2 linked regions of the Lepisosteus oculatus genome follow. The protein of the gene in region 1 purifies or fractionates together with the protein of each later gene. This does not show direct contact. Links are inferred from orthologs where the notes say so. Each region holds a gene or a part of one and is shown on either strand. Other genes may lie near its edges.

What was found.
Region 2: the proteins of hspb1 (region 1) and transforming growth factor beta-1-induced transcript 1 protein-like purify together in Homo sapiens (affinity purification with western blotting; 3 studies listed by BioGRID). This does not show direct contact. The link is inferred for Lepisosteus oculatus from reciprocal best matches to the Homo sapiens genes HSPB1 and TGFB1I1.

Annotation. Positions count from the first base shown.
Region 1 is NC_090721.1:3,379,909-3,389,323, reverse strand, and holds the start of hspb1 (heat shock protein beta-1), read right to left. Parts: upstream 3,813-9,415; 5' UTR 3,698-3,812; coding exon 3,304-3,697; intron 1,609-3,303; coding exon 1,545-1,608; intron 1,323-1,544; coding exon 1,157-1,322; 3' UTR 1-1,156. UniProt on the Homo sapiens protein: Small heat shock protein which functions as a molecular chaperone probably maintaining denatured proteins in a folding-competent state. Plays a role in stress resistance and actin organization.
Region 2 is NC_090699.1:1,270,213-1,280,476, reverse strand, and holds the start of transforming growth factor beta-1-induced transcript 1 protein-like, read right to left. Parts: upstream 4,726-10,264; 5' UTR 4,488-4,725; coding exon 4,475-4,487; intron 1-4,474. Other genes in the region: armc5 (armadillo repeat-containing protein 5), read right to left, coding at 7,609-9,499. UniProt on the Homo sapiens protein: Functions as a molecular adapter coordinating multiple protein-protein interactions at the focal adhesion complex and in the nucleus. Links various intracellular signaling modules to plasma membrane receptors and regulates the Wnt and TGFB signaling pathways.

The sequences.
Region 1 (9,415 bases):
CCAAAAGAAAGTAATGAGGAAAATTATGGAGCAGGAGACGTGTTTGTCTGAAGTTTAATCTTAAACCAAAAACGTAAGTCTGAGCCATGACATTAGACACATACAAGAACTAATCAGCTGGTATTTCATTCAGCTGCCAGTGACAATGTACTGTAACACCTTGGTGAAGAAAGCAGTGTCAAAGCTAATAAATCCTGTGCAAGACCACCCTTCCAGCCCTGTAATATCTGATTAAATTAAGAACAACATTTCTCCATTCTCAATCTACTGTATGTTAAAAAATCAGATTCTAATGCTATCCTCTTAAAGAAACACACACAACTATTTTGACTTAAAAAAGACAAAGCATTTATTTTTCAAAATTATGGAAATACCTTCACACCCACTGAAATATAGGCCGATCTCTACCATGTGCAAACTATAGCATTAAACAGATTCCATCAAATCAAAATATCATAACAAGAACAATGGTGAGTAGCAATTACCAAAAATAATAACAGAAGGCTATACCAAATTGGTAATTTATTCTTTAGTCTCACAATAGGAATAAAAGCCTACTTTTCTGTACTTCTTAGAAATAAATCTCTTTTTTTCCCACAAAAGGCTTGTAATGTATTGTATGCATAGTTCAGCTCATCCAAAGTCATACAGTATGTCCTGTATTTTTTATTCCAATGACAAGGCTATCTATGCTCCTAGTGTTCACGCAGGGACGTTGTGCCTGAGTGAAGAAACCAAGCTGCAGTTTCACAGAAGATGGCACACCCGCAGCCAGCAGAGCTGCAGTATCATAATGGAGAAAAAACAATACCCACACACCAGCCAAGTCTAATCGCATTCAGAGCGCAGCAAGCAAATCTTAAGAGCAGGAGGCAGAAGTGAAAGGGGAGTATTTGGATTGTATTTTAAATCTAACTCTAAAAGAAGGATGAAATGACTGCAAAAATGCAGGTTTGCAATAGCACGTAATGTAATAATACAAAGTCAGTGTGCTGGGGGGATGTTTCATTCACCGAGAAATTGAGCCAATTTCAAAAGAATGAAAAAAACAACAAGCAAAAGATAGTTTCTGTTATAATATTTGGGAAACTGCTGCGTGGTCAAGCGTTCAATATTAACTGCACTGCGCCTTTGCAGGTCGGTAGAGCAATGCTGGTTATTTCTTGGTTTCGACTGCAGGCTTGGCCTTGCTCTCCAGGGAGACTGGGATGGTAATTTCCGCAGCCTGGATTGCCGGTTTGGGAAGAGGAGCCTCTACGGTCAGCACTCCTTCTGGAGAGAGGGAGGAGACCACCTTGTTGACGTCCACGCCAGGAGGGAGCCTGGGGAGGGGAACGAGAAAGCGTTGCCGATTTCAGCAAGCAAAGGGAACACATGCCTGAGGGCCCGGACAGGTGATGTTGTCATAAACTGAATTCATGAACTGGACTTTGCTAGGAGGGCATCAGCTAGTCCTACTACAAGTGTTCCACACAACAAAGACAGGCTACCAGTTTTATACAATATATATTACACATGCTTCATACTGTTTTTCTAATACTCACGTGTATTTTCTGGTGAAGCATCTTGAAATGTAGCCATGCTCATCCTGTCTCTCTTCATGTTTACCTACAGGTACAAATGCATAGGTCAGGCATGGAATGTTTTCAGTTCTGAGGTTACACCAGCTTCCTTTAGCAACTGGCAATTCTCCCTTGACAGCATTTTAATAGATCCCTGTGTGTCTTCCTGCTTTAATATAGAACATTCCTATTGAAACTGAGATCCTGATAACACAGTTGTTTGCTTTGGCAACTGACTATTACTGCAAACAAGCACTGCTTGTATCACAGTGAAGCATATTCCATAGATTGCATTCATTTTATATGTGCTCATGGTTACAGTTGATTTCTTAAATTTAGCCATTACTTTTCAATGCATTTGAGAGACATCACGTGAAAACAGGTATATAAATGTTGCACTTTAGGAAATCATTACAAATGGTCTTTTTACTTCATGCAAAGTTGCAATGGAAATTATCAAGTGATAAAAACAAATTTAGACAGTAATCTAAAACAGTAAAAACTGACTTATTACAGTAACATAACATAACTTTATTAGCCCTATACAATTTCTTGAATTAGGAATTCATCTTTTCACATACCCCAGCTTGCTCTCCATGAGACAAACAGATAGGGAGAGAGCTTGGGGTCAGAGTGCAGGGTCAGTCATTGTACAGCACCCCTGGAGCAGTTGGGGTTAACAGCCTTGCTCAGGGGCCCAACAGAGTAGGATTCCTTTGCCAGCTGCAGGATTTGAACCGGCAACCTTCCAGCCACAGGCGCAGAGCTCCGCCCTATATACTTTTATAAAAGCAATCCAATGCTGCAAATAGTGACACACGAAGTGAAGCTTCTTAAAAACTTTGCAAGTCTGATTAGGAAATGAAACAGCCCTGGCTGGGCTAGCAGCTGACTCTGAAAGCAACAAGCAAGTGTGAGTCATCAGTGACTCAGCTGCAATCCCCATGGCACCGATGAAGGAGGGACGCAGTTATTGGCAAATTTGCTGGCTTTTCAGATGAAACTATTTTTTTAACACTGCCATTAAACCAGATGTAGACGGGAACAGATGCAGATCAGCTTGCTTTCGAACACAGCTATGACCATGGTAAAACTCAATTCATCAAGCATTCAAGTTCGGCCAGTCTCGGGGGCAGTGTGTGCTAGCTGTGTCACTTCAACAGAGAACCAGTGCTGTCACCCCAGCTGCCCCCTGCTCTGAGGAGAATCCAGGGAACACGTTGACTTCTGTTCATTTTCCACAACAAAGGCCAGTTCAGAAACATTTGTTTTTTTAAAACTAGAAAGACTTTCTCACTGAGATAAACTAGACAGCATGAGATATACCATATTCCCAACATTCAATGCTGTCATAACTTTTAAAAGAATGTGTTTTATGAAGCTGTCGACTTTCTTATTTTTACTAATTTGCTCCAAACAAACAGGCAACACATAAACAGAAACAAACATAAATCAGAAACAAACAATGACTACATATTAATCTTTATAAGACAGATGACATGATCAAGGCTGCACTCACGGTGAAAGGAAGGAATAAAATACGTCTGGAAGTTTTTTTTTTAACCCTTTAAAATTAAAAAGGTCATTTTGTTCTGTTTGCGAAGATTTAAAACCCATGAAAGCTGGTGCACCATACAGACCCTCACCTCACGCCCGCTCGGGCCCGTACCGTGGCCACGCCCCTCGCAGCGCTAGCGCCCCCAGAAGGAGGGGGGAAGACAGAGCTGCCTGCGGGACTCACCTGTGATTTCCACCACGCCGTCCTTGGTTTTTACCACCAGTTCCTCGGGGGAGAAGTGGTTGACATCCAGGCTGACTTTCCACTGGTCCTGGGTCTGCTTGATCTCGGACATGCCGCTGCTCAGCTGGCGGGAGAGCGCGCGGGCGTAGGGCGACATCGCCGGCCCCGGGGGCAGCGGGCTCACAGCGCTGGGGGCCCCTGCTTCGGCTGCCGGGCCCACAACTGAGGGCCGAATGTAGCCGGGCCAGTGAGTGCTCGGCCAGTGGTACCAGTCCTCGGTGAGGGCTGGCATGCCGAAGGACTGGTCGAAGATCCGGTTGCCGTGGAACCAGTCTCGGAAGGGATCCCAGCTTGGGCCGCGAAGGAAAGTGAAGGGAATGTGGCGCTCGGACATGTCGGCGAGGAACGTTTTAGGAACGGGGACAGACCACCCTCAGAAGGTTTTGCAGTTCTCTGCTCTCCTCTGCGCTGTTTGGAAGAGCGAGTGCTCTAAGTAATAGTTGGCCGTGGGCTTTATAAACTTCTCCTTCACTGCCCGCCTCTCACCCCCCCATCATATTTATAGAAGAGCCTAGAAAGTCTATTCATGGAAGACAGACCACTGGAAAGGAATTTAGTGTTCCAAGACCGCCCCCCCCCGCCGCTGGATAACACACTGTGTTTAACCCCCGGCTCCAGCCAATTGTAATCCCCTGCCTGGTATTACAGCCTGAAAGAGGAATCTGGTGTGAACCTTGCCAACACTCCTCTGTTGGAGCACGGCAGAAGCGCTGATAAGGAACAGCACTCCAGCAACTGCTGGAGCAGAGCTGTTCCGAGCTGCTTTGAAATGTATCATGAGGAGGGACTGCCATCACCGAAACCCGAACTGGTCACAGAGACGGGATTTCGAATGTGGTACATTCCTGAGAACTTCAGAAGCTACCCTGGTTCTTCAGAACCAAGCACAAAAATTGAGGCTCTTTGTGGCTTCAACCCAAATCACTTCAAAGTCATCTAGCAGTTTGTCTCAACATGCTACAAATGGGGCACCTGAATGCTAGAAGGGGCATCATTAGTGTAGGAAACCACTAAACACCAGTGCTAGGGAGACCCAATTAGTTCCTGACAAATGTCATTCTAATGACGTTTTTACAAACCTTCTGAAGAAAAAAATAAAGAAGCTGAAAAACTGACAGCAATTTTTCCTTTTTAAGCTGGGGTTTTCAGAAAGAAGATGTCTTTTTTTTGGGGGGGTGGGGGTGGCAGTAGGTCACACAGGTGAAGTTGCTTGTGAAGGCCTTGCGACAAGCACAAGCTCACTAAAATAAATCTAATACCTAATGTCATTTTCCCAGGACAGGCCTGGTTCCAAATGTCTCCATGCTTCGGCTCCCCAGGCTGTGACAAAATGTGTCTGAGGAGTTAACAGACTAGAAGTGACAGCTGAGAGGCTAGCTCAGGCCTCACTGGGTTGAGGATCTTGAAAAGCTGAACGACAGAAGTAATAACTCAGGCTTTCTTGTCCTATTCGCACTGTATATTAATAAGCTAAATATCACTGAGCTATTCATCTGAAACAATATTTTTTCAGGATTCTTTCACCCAGGGGGTCTTGACAGCAGTAGTCAACAGCATGAAGAAAGATGAGTTTTACATTAATTTTGAGCAGCTGATACTAATAGGTATAAAATATGTCAGGCTGTTTTTCTCTATAATAAGATTTAATATTCATTCGTAGCAAAGGAGAATAACACAGTTGTCATCTCCCCTTACTTTCTTCCCCAATATGTTTTGAGATGTCTGATGGTCATAATCAAACACTTCGGATCTGTATTACTGAATATCTAAACAGCAACATTCAGCAATGAATTAAAACATCTTCATTTTAAATATCAAAACTCATGTGAACTAAATATAGTCTCATTATTCTGACAAACCCCTAAAACAGTTATTCTACTATAGTGTATTGTATAACGATATTATCCTTCAATTTTATTTTACAGACACATACTGTATAAATCAATATACAGTATAACATTTCCTTTTCAGTGGGACATACTGTAGAAGGTTCGAGATCAATTCAAAAATCATCACCAACGTTTTAATTTTAACCTTACGACGATACTGAGTTTGAATTCTGCTGTCCAATGATTTTCTTCTAATCGTTTTTATGTAAAATTACAATGGCTCAATTTCTGATGAAACATTTAAAGGGAATTATTCTATAACTAAAGTGACGGCCGGCTCAATAAAAAATGAAATTCAGCACAATCTTCTGCGCACCACAAATCACAACGACAGGGATCTGTATATTCGTACAAACCCCCTTTTATTAATATTAGTTGAGTGATATCATATAGTCATACTTTCAACATTTAGCGAAAATCAAATGTGTTATCATACAATTTATCAGTACCTCCATTTTTTAACATTATTTCTCTCATTAATTGAACTGAGGGGCATAACTGAGAAAGCAACGAGAATATTCTCGAGATTAGGCTAAAATTAACGGAGGTGTCATCATGTTTTATTCTTGTAAGATACATTTACACTCGAGGTTCAGCCAGAAACCTCCAGCCTCGAATTCAACCGGAGTTACCAGAATATTCCATCACTCGTGTCTGAAACCAAAGGGATTTCATCACCCAAGCGAGGAAAAGTGGAGGAAAAACAGGCTCGCGAGTGCCCTCTATGGGATGAATTCGTTTACAGAGAAACTCACATAATTTATTTGTGTGTGTGCAGTATGAGCAGTATGTGCCAAGTGTAAAACCGTAGTCTTATCACAGACTATCGTTAATCTGCCAGAGGACTGAGAACTGCTAATTAGCACGCATAATAATAAATAGCCCTTTAATTTGTTGTTAGTGTTGTTGCTTTGAACAGACAAACACGGGGGAATATACTGTACCGGTGTGCGCTGATTGCATATGAAAATTGTCGTTTAGTTTTTGCTCAAGACTCATATAACAACCCTCAATGCCATTCCATTTTTCTGAAGGAGATGTGCTGCTGTGTAGCATTATCTGTCCTACAATACCTGCCCCCAGACCTCAAAGTGTAATACATTTAATTTCGTTCTTTCCCATTAACCGATTGACGTTATATAATGTTAAAAAAAAAAAACAACTGTGTTCTTCAACGAGGAAACTCGGATCCCCCGTGTCCCAAATTTAAAATATTGTTCTTTTTTTGCGGAATGAAGCTCGGCTTGAACACAGGGTTGACGCAGTAACGAGTTAAAGCGACTTCACTGCATGTCGATGCAATGCTGTAGTGATTGTAGGGTGGAAAAGTGCGCATGCCGGCGAGGGTGACGGGCCAGCGGGCGGACCCTCGTACAACTGTCGAGCAAATAGTTTCTTTTGGAAGCACTGACCAAGTAGGAGGGGGAAGATAATTCAGCGTGCGAGGAGCTGCGATTACAGTCCAGTGTTGATCAGAATGACTAACCCTTAGTAATTACCTGTATTCTTTTCAAAAAGGTAAATCCAGTATTTCCATGTATTTTCTTGTCTGTGTATAAATTCAGTGGACTATCTTATTATTCACACCTGAAGAAAGCTCCACGGCCGAAACCTTGTGTTTTTTCTTCTCTTTTCAGCAGGGAATAAACCTATTACTTGTTCCTTTGCAGCCTACGCATGCTGACGCAGCTGCCCACCTGAACTATCTTATTATTTGACTGCTTAATTGTAATACTTCTAACCTGGTTCAGAGGGATGTTATACTCTAGGTGACTGTAATTTTAATGAAGTGAATGGTTTCTGTAAAAGAAACCTTGAGAAAAATCCTGTATATGTTCTATTTTACTAATTTCAGTTAAATTGTTTAATAACTACTCGCACTAGATTAAAAGGGCCCTCCAAGGACGGAGTATGAAATCGCTGAGATGCAGGGTCATAAACTAAAATGTTCTCTGCCAGGACCTCCATCACACGTTACTGGTGAGTTTAATTAACACAGGCGATTGTGGAAGTTGGCGGCACTGTGGTGCAGTGGTGTGCCCTGCTGCCTCGTGCCACGGGCTTCTTCTTTCTGCTCCAGTTTCCTCCCACAGTCCAAAGACATGCTGGTGGGTTAAGTGGCTGGTGGGAAAACTAGCCCTGGTGTGAGCGTGTGTGTCAGTGTCTGCCCTGAGATGGACTGGTGTCCTGTCCAGGGTGTATCCTGCCATGCTTGCTAGGATAGGCTTCAGCTCTCTCGTGACCCTGTATTGGATAAATCAGTTAGACACTGGATGGATGGAAGGAATAGTGAAAGTCACTCTTACCTTCCCACAGGCTGTGTGGCTTCTCAGGCTTTTTTGTCGAAGAAAAATCTACCCGATTAGCATTCCAAAACTACAAGTGGAAACCCACAAAGAGAAAATGCAGGTAAAAAAAGGCCCAGGGATAGTTTTTCTTTTTAAACCTGTTGTGAGAATTTTAGCACAGTTTTACTTTGAGGTAAAACGATGGAGATGTTCTCACTGGTATACAAAGCCCTGAAAACAAACACACAACAAAACAACAGCCAAGTTCCCATTGTTATGTTGTTTATTGTACCGTGTATTAACTAGTACACTACAGCTACTGACTTTTATACAATCCAAAGGTGAACGTAGTTGTTCTTTTTTTTTCCACATAATTTGCTTGTTGTTTTTTAACTCGGGTTACATTTTAAATGTAACATTCAGAGGGGGACAGAGACTGAAACAGACGAGGAAGACTGAAGGTTCCCTGATACACCACCAGCATTCAAATCAGTACAAAACTGAAAACACATTGGAAACGCATTGTCTGTACATGGACAGCTCTCCCTCATTGCTTTGTACAAAATGACAATGAAAAGGAGATACTGAAAAGGGCTAATGTCCTGAAGCCATGGACATTTTGGGATATGCAAAACCATTGCCGCATTAACAGCTAGTATTCCTGGATATAAACCAGGGACACATATTTGAAAATTCTACTGCATTTCTTCTCAGGTTTAACTGGCTGCTTTATTTACACTCTGAAATGGAGGCCTGAAACTACGGTGCGATATACCTTACACTGGACTGAGGGACTTGACAAGCAAAGGTTTGGGAGATAAGACAAATATCCCCCTTAACTCATGCGACTGATGGAACACTCTGCCACTATGGGTTAGTAATCCTTCCTCCACGGTTTGGTTTTGCCTTCACTATTTTCTGCCATCCCCATATCTCAGGGGTTCCAGGTCCTTGAGGCCCATGCACCTGCTGGCTTTCAGTCCAGCTGAGCTTAATTATGTAACTGAACTATCAAGTTGCTTGATTGGAATACATGCACTTTTTGTTTTTGCTCAGACGTTTGGGATTCTGTGTTACTTATAGTGCTACTGTCCTAACACGTTTAAGAGCTGAAAACAATCAAACAGTTCAAATTAGTGCTGGGTTCAATCCCGGGCCCGGGGAGCTATCTGTGTGGAGTTTGTATGTTCTCTTGTTCACATGCATTTTCACTGGGAGCTCTGGTTTCCTCCCAAAGTCCAAAGGCATGCTGGTAGGTTGACTTCTGGGAAACCTGGCCCGGGTGTGAGTGTGTGCATGTTTGTGTCTGCCTGCTCTGTGATAGACTGGCATCCTGTCCAGGGTGTATCCTGCCTTGTGCCCTGCTGGGATAGGCTCTGTCTCCCCTGCGACCCTCAATTGGATGAAGTGCTTAGCAAATTGAAAAAAAATTGAATTAAATCAATTGAGGGTTTAACTGTGTACAGTAAGGAAGAGATTGGTTTGAGTTTACGGGCTCCCAGGACAGGAATAAGAACCCCTGCCATCACTGCTGCTACAGCAGGTCCCTATCTCTCTCTTGCTCCACATGGGGGGGGTTGGTTAATACCTGATGCTCATTGGCCAAGCTGTCGTGCGTCATTCCGGTGGATTAATGCCAAAGAACACAGGAATCCCTTTGCTTAACTAAGCAAAGGCACTTAGTTGTGGGTGTTGTCTGTCTCTAGAAATACTAAAAAAAAAAACTATTTTAATTGTATGAAACCAAAGCTAAGAAGCTGTGTTTTTAAGGTACCCAGTAAAGGGCTTAATTTAGGACCTTTATTTTACACATTTTATTAAGGAATACTGAATTTATGAATTTTCCATGGGCTATTTTCAAAACATGGAAGTCGC
Region 2 (10,264 bases), on another chromosome or scaffold:
GGGTCCACTCTGGACGGAAAGGTGCTTTCAGAAGAGCTATACAGGATAGCGGCGTGGGGAGGCCAGAGTGGGGAGACGGGTGTGAAGAGATTTCAGAGGCCTGATGTGTCCCCAGGAGCACAGTGGAGACCAGCACTAAGAAGTGGGAGGCGTGTGGAGTCACATAGGGTCTCTTTGTGTTAGAGAGACAAGGAAACAGCCACACCGGGTCTCCTTGTGTCAGAGAGACAAGGAAACAGCCACACCGGGTCTCCTTGTGTCAGAGAGACAAGGAAACAGCCACACCGGGTCTCCTTGTGTCAGAGAGACAAGGAAACAGCCACACCGGGTCTCCTTGTGTCAGAGAGACAAGGAAACAGCCACACCGGGTCTCCTTGTGTCACAGAGACAAGGAAACAGCCACACCGGGTCTCTTTGTGTCAGAGAGACAAGGAAACAGCCACACCGGGTCTCCTTGTGTCACAGAGACAAGGAAACAGCCACACCGGGTCTCCTTGTGTCAGAGAGACAAGGAAACAGCCACACCGGGTCTCCTTGTGTCAGAGAGACAAGGAAACAGCCACACCGGGTCTCCTTGTGTCACAGAGACAAGGAAACAGCCACACCGGGTCTCCTTGTGTCAGAGAGACAAGGAAACAGCCACACCGGGTCTCTTTGTGTTAGAGAGACAAGGAAACAGCCACACCGGGTCTCTTTGTGTCACAGAGACAAGGAAACAGCCACACCGGGTCTCTTTGTGTCAGAGAGACAAGGAAACAGCCACACCGGGTCTCCTTGTGTCACAGAGACAAGGAAACAGCCACACCGGGTCTCTTTGTGTCAGAGAGACAAGGAAACAGCCACACCGGGTCTCCTTGTGTCACAGAGACAAGGAAACAGCCACACCGGGTCTCCTTGTGTCAGAGAGACAAGGAAACAGCCACACCGGGTCTCTTTGTGTCAGAGAGACAAGGAAACAGCCACACCGGGTCTCCTTGTGTCAGAGAGACAAGGAAACAGCCACACCGGGTCTCTTTGTGTCAGAGAGACAAGGAAACAGCCACACCGGGTCTCCTTGTGTCACAGAGACAAGGAAACAGCCACACCGGGTCTCTTTGTGTCAGAGAGACAAGGAAACAGCCACACCGGGTCTCTTTGTGTCAGAGAGACAAGGAAACAGCCACACCGGGTCTCCTTGTGTCAGAGAGACAAGGAAACAGCCACACCGGGTCTCTTTGTGTCAGAGAGACAAGGAAACAGCCACACCGGGTCTCCTTGTGTCACAGAGACAAGGAAACAGCCACACCGGGTCTCTTTGTGTCAGAGAGACAAGGAAACAGCCACACCGGGTCTCTTTGTGTCAGAGAGACAAGGAAACAGCCACACCGGGTCTTGTTGTGTCGGTTCTGTTTCTCCGGGTTGAACAGGGGGAGAGGGTTCTGTGTCTCCGGGTTGAGAAGGGGGAGAGGTTCTGTGTCTCCGGGCCGGTGACCCAGGAAGTGCCCAGACAGAGCCCACAGTCTGCCCCGAGCCCCGCAGATCCGGGATCCGGTATCCCGACAGCCGGCAAGAGCTGCTCCCAGCGGATATCGACTCTACTCCAGCTCAGATGTTCTGCTGTTTCCTTTGATTGGATTTTTTCAGAAACTGCTTCCTTCTCTCAGCTGGCCGCTGAGCAGGGACGGTGTGCGAATAAAACTGGAAACGTCTGAGTTCATCTGTCTTCTCTTGGGGCTCTAGGGCAGCACAGGGTGAAGACAGGGAAACTGGGGTGACTCTCCCTGCCCCTGTGACTATAAGAAACTCCAGTGGGCACACACTTCTGTGAGAGTGTCTCCAGTGGGCACACACTGCTCTGTCTCTCTGTGAGAGTGTCTCCTGTGGGCACACACTGCTCTGTGTGTCTCTGTGAGAGTGTCTCCAGTGGGCACACACTGCTCTGTGTGTCTCTGTGAGAGTGTCTCTGTGAGAGTGTCTCCAGTGGGCACACACTGCTCTGAGTGTCTCTGTGAGAGTGTCTCCAGTGGGCACACACTGCTCTGTGTGTCTCTGTGAGAGTGTCTCCAGTGGGCACACACTGCTCTGTGTCTCTGTGAGAGTGTCTCCAGTGGGCACACACTGCTCTGTGTGTCTCTGTGAGAGTGTCTCCAGTGGGCACACACTGCTCTGTGTCTCTGTGAGAGTGTCTCCTGTGGGCACACACTGTTCTGAGTGTCTCTGTGAGAGTGTCTCCTGTGGGCACACACTGCTCTGTGTCTCTGTGAGAGTGTCTCCAGTGGGCACACACTGCTCTGTGTGTCTCTGTGAGAGTGTCTCCAGTGGGCACACACTGCTCTGTCTCTCTGTGAGAGTGTCTCTCTGTGAGAGTGTCTCCTGTGGGCACACACTGCTCTGTGTGTCTCTGTGAGAGTGTCTCCAGTGGGCACACACTGCTCTTTGTCTCTGTGAGAGTGTCTCCTGTGGGCACACACTGCTCTGAGTGTCTCTGTGAGAGTGTCTCCAGTGGGCACACACTGCTCTGTGTGTCTCTGTGAGAGTGTCTCCTGTGGGCACACACTGCTCTGTGTCTCTGTGAGAGTGTCTCCTGTGGGCACACACTGCTCTGTGTCTCTGTGAGAGTGTCTCCAGTGGGCACACACTGCTCTGTGTCTCTGTGAGAGTGTCTCCAGTGGGCACACACTGCTCTGTGTCTCTGTAAGAGTGTCTCCAGTGGGCACACACTGCTCTGTGTGTCTCTGTGAGAGTGTCTCCAGTGGGCACACACTGCTCTGTGTGTCTCTGTGAGAGTGTCTCTCTGTGAGAGTGTCTCCAGTGGGCACACACTGCTCTGTGTGTCTCTGTGAGAGTGTCTCCTGTGGGCACACACTGCTCTGTGTCTCTGTGAGAGTGTCTCTGTGAGAGTGTCTCCAGTGGGCACACACTGCTCTGTGTGTCTCTGTGAGAGTGTCTCTCTGTGAGAGTGTCTCCAGTGGGCACACACTGCTCTGTGTGTCTCTGTGAGAGTGTCTCCTGTGGGCACACACTGCTCTGTGTGTCTCTGTGAGAGTGTCTCCTGTGGGCACACACTGCTCTGTGTGTCTCTGTGAGAGTGTCTCCAGTGGACACACTGTTCAGTGTGTCTCTGTGAGAGTGTCTCCAGTGGGCACACACTGCTCTGTGTCTCTGTGAGAGTGTCTCCAGTGGGCACACACTGCTCTTTGTCTCTGAGAGTGTCTCCAGTGGGCACACACTGCTCTTTGTCTCTGTGAGAGTGTCTCCTGTGGGCACACACTGCTCTGTGTGTCTCTGTGAGAGTGTCTCCGGTGGGCACACACTGCTCTGAGTGTCTCTGTGAGAGTGTCTCCAGTGGGCACACACTGCTCTGTGTGTCTCTGTGAGAGTGTCTCCTGTGGGCACACACTGCTCTGTGTGTCTCTGTGAGAGTGTCTCCAGTGGGCACACACTGCTCTGTGTCTCTGTGAGAGTGTCTCCAGTGGGCACACACTGCTCTGTGTCTCTATGAGAGTCTCCCCAGTGGGCACACACTGCTCTGTGTGTCTCTGTGAGAGTGTCTCTGTGAGAGTGTCTCCAGTGGGCACACACTGTTCTGTGTGTCTCTGTGAGAGTGTCTCCAGTGGGCACACACTGCTCTGTGTCTCTGTGAGAGTGTCTCCAGTGGGCACACACTGCTCTTTGTCTCTGTGAGAGTGTCTCCAGTGGGCACACACTGCTCTGTGTGTCTCTGTGAGAGTGTCTCCAGTGGGCACACACTGCTCTGAGTGTCTCTGTGAGAGTGTCTCCGGTGGGCACACACTGCTCTGAGTGTCTCTGTGAGAGACACTGCTCTTTGTGTTTCTGTGAGAGTGTCTCCTGTGGGCACACACTGCTCTGAGTGTCTCTGTGAGAGTGTCTCCAGTGGGCACACACTGCTCTGTGTGTCTCCTGTGGGCACACACTGCTCTGTGTCTCTGTGAGAGTCTCCCCAGTGGGCACACACTGCTCTGTGTGTCTCCAGTGGGCACACACTGCTCTGTGTCTCTGTGAGAGTCTCCCCAGTGGGCACACACTGCTCTGTGTCTCTGTGAGAGTCTCCCCAGTGGGCACACACTGCTCTGTGTGTCTCTGTGAGAGTGTCTCCAGTGGGCACACACTGCTCTGTGTGTCTCCAGTGGGCACACACTGCTCTGTGTGTCTCCAGTGGGCACACACTGCTCTGTGTCTCTGTGAGAGTCTCCCCAGTGGGCACACACTGCTCTGTGTGTCTCCAGTGGGCACACACTGCTCTGTGTCTCTGTGAGAGTCTCCCCAGTGGGCACACACTGCTCTGTGTGTCTCCAGTGGGCACACACTGCTCTGTGTCTCTGTGAGAGTCTCCCCAGTGGGCACACACTGCTCTGTGTCTCTGTGAGAGTCTCCCCAGTGGGCACACACTGCTCTGTGTGTCTCCAGTGGGCACACACTGCTCTGAGTGTGATAAAAATCCACGCAGCGCTACAGCAACAGCAGTCGAACTCACCCAGATCGTCCATCGTCTCTCGGCGCCGGTTTCTCGCTGGAAGCTGCCGAAGTCGATCCTGTCCCGGGAGCCGGACGGTCCCGCGGTCGAGCCGGGAGCGGAGGTCGGTGTCGCCAGCGGGAGCGCAGCCGGGAAGAGGCTCGAGGCTCGGGAAGAGGCTCGGGAAGGGACTCGGAAAAGGGCGGATTCCCGGCCGCTGTCCCGCCGCGCAGTGCGCGTGTCTGGAGAGAGACCCCCTCGCTCACACGCGCACGCCCGTTCCCAGGCCGTGACGTCACCGCGGACATTCCAACACCATATTAGGAGCAGAGCCGCGAGCGCAGGAGAGCCTGAGTCTGGAGCGCTGTTACTGAGCACAGCTACTGAGCACTGTCTCCGAGCCTGGAGCGCTGTTACTGAGCACAGCTACTGAGCACTGTCTCCGAGCCTGGAGCGCTGTTACTGAGCACAGCTACTGAGCACAGTCTCCGAGCCTGGAGCGCTTTTACCGAGCACAGCTACTGAGCACAGTCTCCAAGCCTGGAGCGCTGTTACTGAGCACAGCTGCTGAGCACAGTCTCCGAGTCTGGAGCGCTGTTACTGAGCACAGTCTCTGAGCCTGGAGCGCTGTTACTGAGCCTGGAGAGCACTTACTGAGCACAGTCTCTGAGCCTGGAGCGCTGTTACTGAGCACAGTCTCTGAGCCTGGAGAGCACTTACTGAGCACAGTCTCTGAGCCTGGAGCGCTGTTTCTGAGCACAGTCTCTGAGCCTGGAGCGCTGTTACTGAGCACAGCTACTAAGCACCGTTACTGAGCACTGTTGCTGAGCCTGGAGCGCTGTTACTGAGTACAGTATGAGTACAGAGGTGAGTACAGTATGAATACAGAGACAAGTCCAGTACGAGTACAGAACGAGTACAGTACGAGTACAGAACGAGTACAGAACGAGTACAGAACGATTACAGTATGAGTACAGAACGAGTACAGAACGAGTCCCGGATCACACAAGGCTGGTCAGCGGAGCCGAGCGATCAGGTCCGCGTGGGGAAACTTCTCCAAGGGGCAGAGCGCTGTGGCCAGTCTGATCGGCCGCGCGGCCAGGGCGCCCCTCTCCTCCCTCGCCCTCTGCCCTGCAGCCTGACCCTGACCGCCGGGGACAGCCGGGGCGGGCGGAGACAGGATAGAGACCCCACAGCGGGGGAGACGCCAGACACAGCATGACGGGTCGTAGCCGGTCGCTCCTCGGCTCGGTTCTGCCGCTGACCCAGATCTGCTGGTCTGAGGCAAGACAGAGTCGGAGAGGCAGGGACAGACTGGGCAGCCTGGTGAAGAGACGTCCCAGTCCGTTTCCCCTCTGTCCCTCAGTCCCGGGTTCGGCGTACAGCACAGTCCAGGTACTCCCATCGGAGCGCAGATACCCCAGCTCCAAAACCAGCAGGTTCAAGTCCTCACTCAACACCTGAAGCCAAGTCCTCACTCACTCTGACCCTCCATGTCAACAGGTCTGGATATTGACGGAGATCAGGTTGGTACGGCCAGCAGCCAAAATCCTCTGCAACTCACAACTGGCAGCTACTGGAGCCCAGCAGGGGGAGCTCTCACCCAGCTCACAGCCCACTGGAGCCCAGCAGGGGGCGCCCTCACCCAGCTCACAGCCCACTGGAGCCCAGCAGGGGGCGCTCTCACCCAGCTCACAGCCCACTGGAGCCCAGCAGGGGGCGCCCTCACCCAGCTCACAGCCCACTGGAGCCCAGCAGGGGGCACTGTCCCCCAGCTCACAGCCCACTGGAGCCCAGTAGGGGGCGCCTGGCCAGAACCTGGAGGGGAGACCCCTGGGAGAGGTGTGAGTGGGGCCAGCAGGGGGCGCTCTCACCCTGCGCTCTGTGTGGGTCCTGATGCCCCAGTCCAGTGATGGTGAGCTATAAAAGAGTAGGGCTGGACACTGACGGGGACACTGGACTGTAAACAGGCGCCGTCCTTCAGATGAGACGTGAAGCCGGGGTCCTGACTCTCTGTGCTCATTAACAATCCCATTGTTAATGTCTCTCGAGAAGAGTCGGGGTGTCACCCCGGTGTCCCTCTGCTCTCCTCCACTGAGAGCTGCTGTGTGGGAGAGGACTGGAGCCTCATCCAGGTGGGGTACACACTGCTGGGGGTGGGGGGGATCCCCATGACCTGTACAGCGCATTGAGTGGGGTGTCCAGACAGGCGCTATATAAGGGTCAGCAATTATTATTCCGGTAGCAGATGTTCAGCAGGGAGTAAACCCATCGCTCGTGTCTGCATGGAGTTGAATTTTCCCTCATGTCCGCCAGCACTGTGGCTGTAAAACCGCTCCCCCTGAGACAAGCAGACGAGAGAGCTCCGGTCCGGTCCGCGAGAGCCCAGCAGGGCACGAGCCAGCGTCATCAAACTGGGCCTGTTCCAGAACGGTGTGTGGGAGCAGGGCGCGCCGCTGGAGACGGACAGGGGGTTACTGGGGGGCAGGAGAACAGACTGACCTCTGACACAGCAGTTTGAGTTCATCAGCTGAGCGTTTATTACAGTGACTCAGGGTCCAGCTGGGTATTCACAGTGTATGTACAGTATCTACAGCCCCACAGAGGGCACCCAGAGAGCACAGGCCCTCGCCCCCTTAGACAAAACTCCCCCTCCCACAACCCCTCCCCCAGACACGCCCCCCTCATCCACTGTCTCCTCCCTCCCCAGACACGCCCCTCTCCTCCCACTGTCTCCTCCCTCCCCAGACACGCCCCTCTCCTCCCACTGTCTCCTCCCTCCCCAGACACGCCCCTCTCCTCCCACTGTCTCCTCCCTCCCCAGACACGCCCCTCTCCTCCCTCCCCAGACACGCCCCTCTCCTCCCACTGTCTCCTCCCTCCCCAGACACACCCCTCTCCTCCTGTCTCCTCCCTCCCCAGACACGCCCCCTCCCCCACTGTCTCCTCCCTCCCCAGACACACCCTTCTCCTCCTGTCTCCTCCCTCCCCAGACACACCCTTCTCCTCCTGTCTCCTCCCTCCCCAGACACGCCCTTCTCCTCCTGTCTCCTCCCTCCCCAGACACGCCCTTCTCCTCCTGTCTCCTCCCTCCCCAGACACGCCCTTCTCCTCCTGTCTCCTCCCTCCCCAGACACGCCCCTCTCTGCCCAGGGTCAGGTCAGTGCGCGGGTGACCATGGCCAGTATGTCCTCCTGCAGGCGCTGGCCGCAGTGGGCGTGGTCGGCGATCTGCCCCAGGCAGGCGGCGGCGGGGGCGAGGGGCAGGGGGGGGCGGGCGGCCAGCAGCAGGGCCAGGCAGCGGCGGCCCAGCAGGGGGTAACCGTGCTGCTGGGAGAACTGGTACAGCGAGGGCAGGGCGCCGAGGAGAGAGGCAGGGTCCGGCTCCGAGTCCGGCCCGCTCTGACCCAGTTCTGACCCACCCAGTTCGCCCAGTGACTCCGAGTCTGGCCCGCTCCAAACCAGTCCAGACCCGCCCAGTTCGCCCAGTGACTCCGAGTCTGGCCCGCTCTGACCCAGTCCGGACCCGCCCAGTTCACCCAGTGACTCCGGCCCGCTCCGAGCCGGTCCGGACCCGCCCAGTTCGCCCAGTGAATCTGGCCCGCTCTGACCCAGTCCGGACCCGCCCAGTTCGCCCAGTGACTCCGGCCCGCTCCGACCCGGTCCAGACCCGCCCAGTTTGCCCAGTGACTCCGAGTCTGGCCCGCTCTGACCCAGTCCGGACCCGCCCAGTTCGCCCAGTGACTCTGGCCCGCTCCGACACAGTCCGGACCCGCCCAGTTCGCCCAGTGAATCTGGCCCGCTCTGACCCAGTCCGGACCCGCCCAGTTCGCCCAGTGACTCCGGCCCGCTCCGACCCGGTCCAGACCCGCCCAGTTCGCCCAGTGACTCTGGCCCGCTCCGACACAGTCCGGACCTGCCCAGTTCGCCCAGTGACTCTGGCCCGCTCCGACACAGTCCGGACCCGCCCAGTTCGCCCAGTGACTCCGAGTCTGGCCCGCTCTGACCCAGTCCGGACCCGCCCAGTTCGCCCAGTGACTCCGGCCCGCTCCGACCCAGTCCAGACCCGCCCAGTTCGCCCAGTGACTCCGAGTCTGGCCCGCTCTGACCCAGTCCGGACCCGCCCAGTTCTCCCAGTGACTCCGGCCCGCTCCGAGCCGGTCCGGACCCGCCCAGTTCGCCCAGTGACTCCGGCCCGCTCCGAGCCGGTCCGGACCCGCCCAGTTCGCCCAGTGACTCCGAGTCTGGCCCGCTCCGACCCGGTCCGGACCCGCCCAGTTCGCCCAGTGACTCCGAGTCTGGCCCTCTCTGACCCAGTCCGCCCAGTGACTCCGGCCCGCTCCGAGCCGGTCCGGACGCCCCCTGCTGGCCCAGGAGAGACACACACAGCTGCTCCAGCTGCGCCTGCAGCCCCGACACCAGGAAGCGGCTGGCGCCCCGCATGGCCGCCAGCAGGGGGGGCTCCCCGCCCCCGGGAGGCCCCCAGAGGGGGGGCTCCCCGCCAGCCCCCAGGGCCCCCAGCAGCGGGCAGGCCGCCCCGTCGCCCAGGCGACAGCCGTGCAGGAAGTGCAGGACGGGCAGCAGCATCTCGGGGGTGACGTCGCGGATGGGGACCCCCCCCGTGGCCAGCGCCTCCCGGAAGCCCCCCAGCAGCAGCGCGTGGAAGTAGGGGGAGCCCCCCTGCCCGGTCAGGGCGGCCCGGCTGGCGGGGAGCCGCGTGCCGTCGTCCAGCAGCAGCACCAGGTCCGGGGGGGCGCGCCGGTAGGGGCAGGGGGCGGGGGGCGGGGGCCGCGGGGCGCCGGGGGCCCCCCCGCCCTCGGGGCGCCCCAGCAGGGCGGAGAGGCAGTCCGCCAGCGCGCAGCAGTACAGCGCCCGCAGGCGCCGCGCCGAGGGGGGCTGGGGGGGCGGCAGCCAGGCGCCCAGGAGGGCCCCCCAGCCCAGCGGGTCCTCCTCCGCGGCCGGGGCGTCGTCACGGCGACACAGCGGCTGCAGGGCCAGACGCAGACCAGCGTGATCGAGCAGCAGCTTCCGGAGCACAGGCCTGTTACTGGAGAGACAGACAGGCACGTCACTGGAGAGACAGACAGGCACAGGCCTGTTACTGGAGAGACAGACAGGCACAGGCCTGTTACTGGAGAGACAGACAGGCACGTCACTGGAGAGACAGACAGGCACGGGCCTGTTACTGGAGAGACAGACAGGCACGTCACTGGAGAGACAGACAGGCCTGTTACTGGAGAGACAGACAGGCCTGTTACTGGAGAGACAGACAGGCACGTCACTGGAGAGACAGACAGACAGGCACAGGCCTGTTACTGGAGAGACAGACAGGCACGTCACTGGAGAGACAGACAGGCACGGGCCTGTTACTGGAGAGACAGACAGGCACGTCACTGGAGAGACAGACAGACAGGCACAGGCCTGTTACTGGAGAGACAGACAGGCACGTCACTGGAGAGACAGACAGGCACAGGCCTGTTACTGGAGAGACAGACAGGCACGTCACTGGAGAGACAGACAGACAGGCACAGGCCTGTTACTGGAGAGACAGACAGGCACGTCACTGGAGAGACAGACAGACAGGCACAGGCCTGTTACTGGAGAGACAGACAGGCACGTCACTGGAGAGACAGACAGGCACAGGCACGTCACTGGAGAGACAGACAGACAGGCACAGGCACGTCACTGGAGAGACAGACAGGCACAGGCCTGTCACTAGAGAGACAGACAGGCACGGGCCTGTTACTGGAGAGACAGACAGGCACGGGCACGTCACTGGACAGACAGACAGACAGACAGACAGACAGACAGA